2 linked regions of the Mus musculus genome follow. The protein of the gene in region 1 purifies or fractionates together with the protein of each later gene. This does not show direct contact. Links are inferred from orthologs where the notes say so. Each region holds a gene or a part of one and is shown in the gene's direction. Other genes may lie near its edges.

What was found.
Region 2: the proteins of Tesk1 (region 1) and Rabepk purify together in Homo sapiens (affinity purification with mass spectrometry; 3 studies listed by BioGRID and IntAct, with this or other methods). This does not show direct contact. The link is inferred for Mus musculus from reciprocal best matches to the Homo sapiens genes TESK1 and RABEPK.

The regions. Positions count from the first base shown.
Region 1 is NC_000070.6:43,445,077-43,448,691, forward strand, and holds the end of Tesk1 (dual specificity testis-specific protein kinase 1), read left to right. Parts: coding exon 1-47; intron 48-207; coding exon 208-298; intron 299-446; coding exon 447-530; intron 531-652; coding exon 653-742; intron 743-862; coding exon 863-992; intron 993-1,537; coding exon 1,538-2,421; 3' UTR 2,422-2,999; downstream 3,000-3,615. Other genes in the region: B-cell differentiation antigen CD72, read right to left, coding at 3,189-3,339. UniProt on the Homo sapiens protein: Dual specificity protein kinase activity catalyzing autophosphorylation and phosphorylation of exogenous substrates on both serine/threonine and tyrosine residues.
Region 2 is NC_000068.7:34,793,161-34,796,976, reverse strand, and holds part of Rabepk (rab9 effector protein with kelch motifs), read left to right. Parts: intron 1-1,647; coding exon 1,648-1,805; intron 1,806-3,816. UniProt on the Homo sapiens protein: Rab9 effector required for endosome to trans-Golgi network (TGN) transport.

The DNA.
Region 1 (3,615 bases):
GCTGTTGTGGGTGACTTCGGACTGGCTGAGAAGATTCCTGTGTATAGGTAAGGTGAACACCCTTCTTACCCCAAGCCTCCCAGGGGTGCCCTATACATGAGTGAACCCCCCAGGGGTATTCTCTGTGGATGGAGAGGAGGCTTGCCCCATCCCCTTTAGTTTGGGGGAGATGTCTGAACTGGAGATGTGACCACCCTGCCTCTGCAGGGAAGGGACAAGGAAGGAGCCCTTGGCTGTGGTGGGCTCCCCGTACTGGATGGCTCCAGAGGTGTTGCGGGGAGAGCTGTATGATGAGAAGGTAAGAGACCTTGAGATAGAGCCCCATTCAACAACCCTCCTATATAGATTTGGGAACCCCCAGCCTTCTCCCTTACCCCTCACTGCCACCCTTCCAACATAAGATAAACACTGACTCCTCCCCCTTGGCATGGTCCACCTACCTCCAGGCCGATGTCTTCGCCTTCGGGATCGTCCTCTGTGAGCTCATCGCCCGAGTGCCTGCAGACCCTGACTACCTACCCCGCACTGAGGTGAGGTAACCTCTGCTCTGGGTGCCTCAACCAAGAAGGGCTTTGTGGAGCTTGAGCCTCACAGTGGGGCACATGGAGAGCCCACTGAAGGCTAACTGGCAGCCCCTCCTCTGTCCCCACAGGACTTTGGCCTGGATGTGCCTGCTTTCCGAACTTTGGTGGGAAATGACTGTCCGCTACCTTTCCTGCTTCTGGCCATCCACTGCTGCAGCGTAAGTGTCACCCCTTCCCTGACCACATCCCTGAGTTGTCTTCTAAAACCGGGGAGAGAATGGTGGAAACTCACTGTCTTCATGAGCCCTGAGCGAAGCTGCCCTGTCTTTATCCATCAGATGGAACCCAGCACCCGGGCCCCTTTTACTGAAATCACCCAGCACCTGGAACAGATCCTGGAGCAGCAGCCTGAGGCCACGCCCCTCGCCAAGCCACCCCTCACCAAGGCTCCCTTGACATACAATCAGGGTGAGTGAGCATGACCTTGACCTCAGCAGAAGTCCTGCCTCTCCTGAGAGTCAGTTCTCTGGAGGAGGCTAATTGGATCTCTGAGGTAAAAAGGTGGGAAGTCAGGTGGGATGGAGAGGCATCTCACAGAAGATGGTTTTCATTGCTAGAGCCCAAGGCAGCAGAAGGAGGAAAGAAAAAGTAGGTAGAAAAGCGGAAAGGAGGGGCTGGTGAGATGGATCGACGGGTTCAGGCATTTGTATAAGGACTTCTAGGCTCTACATCATGGAAGCAGAAAACTGACTCCTGAAAGATGTCCTCTGACCTCCGACCTCCATGATAACTTTAGTGTCCTGTGGTTCATAGTTCACACACGTGTTCATACAGACACATGAATACTTTTTTTTTTTTTTTAGTAAACAAGGTAGCTGGAAATAACAACTGTCCCTTCCAGAGCCCCTGTAGGACTTCCTTTCTTAAGCTCTTGTCCCACCACCTGCCTGGAGATTCAGGGCCTCAGCTTGGAGCAGATGCTGGGAACAGTGATGAGACCTCTCTTTCTACAGGGTCTGTTCCAAGAGGAGGTCCCTCTGCCACACTTCCCAGGCCAGACCCCCGGCTCTCCCGAAGCCGGTCAGACCTCTTCCTGCCACCTTCGCCAGAATCACCCCCCAGCTGGGGGGACAATCTAACACGAGTCAACCCCTTCTCACTGCGGGAAGACCTCAGGGGTGGCAAGATCAAGCTGCTGGACACACCCTGCAAGCCGGCCACTCCACTGCCCCTGGTTCCACCATCACCACTTACCTCTACCCAGCTGCCCTTAGTGACCACTCCAGACATCCTGGTCCAGCCTGAGACCCCTGTCCGCCGCTGTCGCTCACTACCTTCATCCCCTGAGCTTCCCCGACGGATGGAGACTGCACTGCCAGGTCCTGGCCCTTCCCCCATGGGCCCGACTGAGGAGAGGATGGACTGCGAGGGCAGCAGCCCTGAGCCAGAGCCCCCAGGCCTGGCTCCCCAGCTGCCTCTGGCTGTGGCCACTGACAACTTCATCAGTACTTGTTCCTCAGCCTCGCAGCCCTGGTCTCCTAGATCAGGACCTCCCCTCAACAATAATCCCCCTGCTGTGGTGGTGAATTCCCCACAAGGGTGGGCTAGGGAGCCCTGGAACCGGGCACAGCATAGCCTTCCCCGGGCAGCAGCCCTGGAGCGGACAGAGCCCTCACCGCCCCCATCAGCTCCCCGGGAGCCGGAGGAGGGGCTGCCCTGCCCTGGCTGCTGCCTTGGCCCGTTCAGCTTTGGCTTTCTATCCATGTGCCCCCGCCCTACCCCAGCTGTTGCCCGCTACCGCAACTTGAACTGTGAGGCGGGCAGTCTTCTCTGCCACCGAGGGCATCATGCCAAGCCACCCACACCCAGCCTGCAGCTGCCTGGGGCACGCTCTTAGCAGTGAGGCCTGTGAGCTCAGGCTTCCAACCTTGGCCTTCGGGATACCCTGTAAGGACAGTGCACTTGCTGGACAATGCCAGCCCCAGATGGGCTGACTAGCTCTTCTCCCCGTATAGGGGAGCCTCAGCATGGTCTCAATGGACAGAGCACCTCCTAGCCGACCCCTGGGTTCACTGTCCCATTGGGATCACCGAACTAGACACAGCATTGCTGACACACAGGACTAACACGTGCAAAGTATTTAAAAATATTTCAATAAAACTGCCTGGCTGGCTCCGGGCCATCCATCCACTCAGCGGAGCGCCCTCCCCTGACCCATCTCTAGTTTGGGAAGTTCTTAAGGAAGGTCAAGTCTTTTCTGGAGGCTTCTTTACTCTTCCCAAGAGAAGTCCAGTTTCTGGAGCAGCTTTCAAGCAAGCAGCAGGTCATCCCTTAGCTGGGCATGCCCGAGAGTGAGGGAGTGCTGGAGGAATAGCAGTCTTAAAAATTGGCAGGCCGTAGGTTAAGGATGTAGGTCACAAGGTCTTGTTCAAGTGTCTGGAAAATAAAGCATCAGTGAGCTTCAGTTGACTGTCATTAGCTCTCCTCATCCTATGTTCCCCAGCTCCTCTTCTGTTCCAGGCCACATCTGTCCCCATGCCCTGCCCTGCCCTATGTAAGCAGACTGAGACGCTGAAGGTGATGGATGTGACAGATGAGGGGACAAATTTTCCCTCTTGTCCTCTGTCCACACACCCATGCCTAATCTCCTCTTGCTTACCCGTTTCAGTTCAGATTGATCCCATCAGGAAACCTGAAAGCCTCCGACTCACAAATGCAGGGGTGAAGCTCTGCACACTTGGAAATTGTTCTTTCCCACTTCTGGTAATATGTTTTTATCCTGACACAATGTCGGCTTTGAGAGTCAGAGTCCTGCCTGGTGAACAGAGTTGGGATACACTTTAGACCCCTGCAAGCCCCTCCCTTCCCTTGCTCTTTGCAAAACCTAGTCTAAATTCTAGCTCCTGCTAGGCCCACATGGTTCAGGAACAGGTTTCTGAACTAAAGCTCCCAGAGGCCTTAAGACCACAGAGGAAAACTGCACTTAAGGAGCTGGGTGCGATGGTGCACACATTTAATCCCAGGAGTCAGCACTCAGGAGTCATACATAGACCTCATACTCCATGGAACATGAGGCAGTCACCCTGTCTTG
Region 2 (3,816 bases), on another chromosome or scaffold:
GAGGCAGAGCAAGTGATGGAGTGTGACCTGCACTGAGGGGATCCCAGAAGGGTGGACAAGGTCCCACTGACTCCAACTGAGCCTCCATGCCCACTTCCCACAATTACCTTGCTCCAGAGCCATCACACGTGCTCTGGAGACATGCTCCGGGGTAAAACCCAATAGAGAACTGGCAATGTAGCTTGGTTATAGAGCTCTGCTTAGTATGAATAGTTCCATCCCTCTCCCTGAACAATACGACAAAGCAGGAACCTTAAACGAGGCCCTGCATATCCTGTATGTACCTGTCCATCCAACTTCAGATGTCTTTATTTATTTATTTTGCTGTTTGATTTGTTGTTGAGACAGATTCTCATGTAGCCCAGGTTGGCTCCGAATTTTGAGCAATCCTCGTTTCCTAGCCTCCCAAGTGCTGGGATCACAGGCATGGCCACCAAGATTAGCTTTGTTTTGTTTTGAGACGGACTATCAAGTATTCAGGTGGATTGCTGAGAATCCAAGGCTAGCCTGGATGATGGAGTAAGATGCTCTCCAGAAAACAATAAAGACAGAAAGAACTTTTATGTTAAAACTTTTCTTTGACTGTGAAAACAAAGAAGGGGTATTCATGAACACAAATCCACATGCAGGACAGATCCGGACAAGAATGAGAGATCCTGTAATCACTGATAGGGATGGAGATGGGTGTCCATAGAAACCACCAGGACAGATGAATCAGAAAAGCAAAAAGGCAGAGGGAAAGGGATTCCTAGGATACTGACAGTTCTGAGGGGGCTGGTGGGAGACACGTCAGAGAGGAAAGGAAACAGCTGTCAGAGGGAAGTACACACCCGGAGGAAGAGGTGCGGAGAATCTAGGTTCTGGAAAAGGTGAAGGAAAGTGGGACGTTCAGGAGCACCAACATCAGAGAGGTCAAGCAAGACAGGAGCTGGAGTCAGGATATATCCATGTTCACTGTGTGCCCTGGCCCACACCTATAGCCCCACACTTGGGAGATAGGGGCAGGACTATCAGGGATTTAAGGTCATCCTGGGCTACCTGGAAATCTAAGGCCACCCTAGACTGTAAGAGACACTGTCAGAAACTAATTTTTTGTTTCTTTCCAATCAGAAAGTTTGGAATACTTCCCCCCCCCCCCCCCCACTAACCATCAAAATAAATGTAGCGGTGAATGTTCTGGCCCTGTACTGTAGTCTGAATCCTAGACGTAAGTTCCTAGATTTGATGGAGGATCCAAGCCTGGGAAGTCTTTTAGTGGATTTTTTACAATTATGAGGCTTAATCCGTGTATTCTGGAGGGAGACATCGTTGGCTGTTGGCCAGGGTGTCCCTGTGAATTCGATAGTGCCCTATCTATCCCCGCACCCTCCCAGGCTCTGTCTGAGTCATCACACCCCCCTTTGAAGGTGAGAACTATAGTAACCCTGGCTTTAGAGTAGAGAAAACTGAGGTTCGAATAGGTGAGGTGACTACCCTAATGCCTCCCATCTAGAAAGCACTGAAGCCCACACTTGAACACAGGCACTTGCTCACATATGATAGTAATTATATCCTAAAGCGTGAGTATGTGTGCCAGGCCTTTCATCCTTTGTGAGGAATGGAAGAACATTCTCGCACGGCCTCCTGAGCATGCCTTCCCTTTGGCAGGTACACTTTGACTTGCCCTGGAGACAGGCCCTGCCCTCGAGTTGGCCACAGCTGCTCATATTTCCCCCCAGTTGGTGATGCCGAGAGCGGGAAGATCTTCATTGTCGGGGGAGCAAATCCAAACCAAAGTTTCTCAGATGTACACACCATGGACTTGGGTAAGATCAGTGCTGTAGAGCATTCCTAAGAACACCAGCCCTACTGGGTATCGTGGTACAGTTCTTGTGAATTCTTGCATGATAGCCCCTGGGAGTTTGAAGCTAGCCTGGTCTATATAACAAGTTCCAGGCCAGGAAAACATAGACCCTGAACAACAACAACAATAGTAATGACTCTGAACCATAATAACAATAAGAACAACAACAGCAATAAAATGTCTTAGTTTGGGTTTTATAGCTGTGACCAAGGCAACTCTTCTAAAGGATGACATTTAATTGGGGCTGGCTTACAGCTTCAGTGTTTCAGTCCATTATCAAGGCAGGAAGCACAGCAGCATCCAGGCAGGCATGGCACTAGAGGAGCTGAGAATTCTACATCTTCATCCAAGGGAAGTCAGGAGCAGACTTGTCCTCAGGCAGCTAGGAGGAGGGTCTCAAAGCCTAGCCCCACAGTGACACACCTCCTCCACCAAGGCCACACCTCCTCCACCAAGGCCACACCTCCTCTACCAAGGCCACACCTCCTAATAATGCCACTCCCTGGGCCAAGCATATTTAAACTACCACAAATAATAATACCGACTCAGACCAGACAACAGAGTTTTCCTCTTAAAGAGAAGAATATATTTGTCCCTCCGATCTCAGCTGACCTTTAGCATCCTTGTTTGGAGAAGAGTCTGTGTCTTAGGGTTCCCATTGCTGTGAAAAGACACAATTACCATGGAAACTCTTATAAAGGCAACCATTTCATTGGGGCTGGCTTACCATTTCAGAGGTTTAGTCTGTTATCATCATGACAGGAAGCATGGCAGCATCCAAGTAGACATGATGCTGGAGGAGCTGAGAGTTCCACATCTTGATCCAAAGGCAGCCAGGAGGGGACTCCTTCCACATTGAGTGGAGCTTGAGCACTAGACACCCTCAAAGCCCACCTATACAGCGACACACTTCCTCCGAGTCCACACTGCCTAGTAGTACCACTTCCCATGGGCCAAGCGTATTCAAACCACCACAGTCTGTATTGAGCCCTGGCAATCCCGAAATTGGTTATGTATTAACAGTTAGGAGGCATCATTTCTCCTGCCCTCATTCTAATGAATGTCCTGGCTTTGACTGTCTCCCACTGTGTTTGTCCCTTTCCGTTCCCACCACAGGTCCCACCACTGCTGTCTTTTCACTAGCCCTGGAATCATTCTCCCTCTGGTCTGCTTGCCTCCATGTCAGCTCACTGCACAGTGCATGTCCCATACCCATGCAGAAAGTGTTGCTCTTTGGTTTGGACAAGGGTGGTTTTTTTTGTTTTGAAGCAGTCTCATGGGGCTGGGGCTGGACTTGAACTCACTGTGAGGCTGACAGCATGACCTTGAACTTCTGATTCTCTTGCCTTTACCTTTCAAGTATGTATCTGAGCCCCTTCACCTGGTCTATATGATGGTGCTGACCAGACCCTGCCTTTGTGTGTGTGAGGCCAGTGCTCCACCAGCTGAACTGCATCCATGTCCCCCAAGCCATCGCTCATGCTGTTCCCTTTGCATGAGGAGGTCCTCTCCTTCCTTGTCATCTCTCTGTGGTCCCTGACTCAGTGCCCCTTCTGTCTGGAAGCTAGCACTCCAGCTCTAGACTGGTTTGGATACCATATTCCTCCATATCCATAGAGTCATATACTCTCCCATTTCCTCCTTCCAAGATCTTAGTGCATCTGATTATTTCCTGTATGTCCCACAAGAGCTTAAGAGCCTTGGAGAAAGAGTGAGACTGTTTTACTCATAATTGTATCCCCAGCCACTGCTAGAGCATATATCCAGGGCAGGCACTTTATGTTTAGATGAATGAATGAATGAATGAATGAATGAATGAATGAACAAAGGAGCAAAGCTATGAATAAACTATTATGATGATGTGCTATATGCTGCTGTACAAAAGGCAGAAGTTGAAAATTGGTGACCACGTGAAAGTGTGGCCATATAACATTTCTGTTATACTATATGTATGTAAATATACTTATAAATAT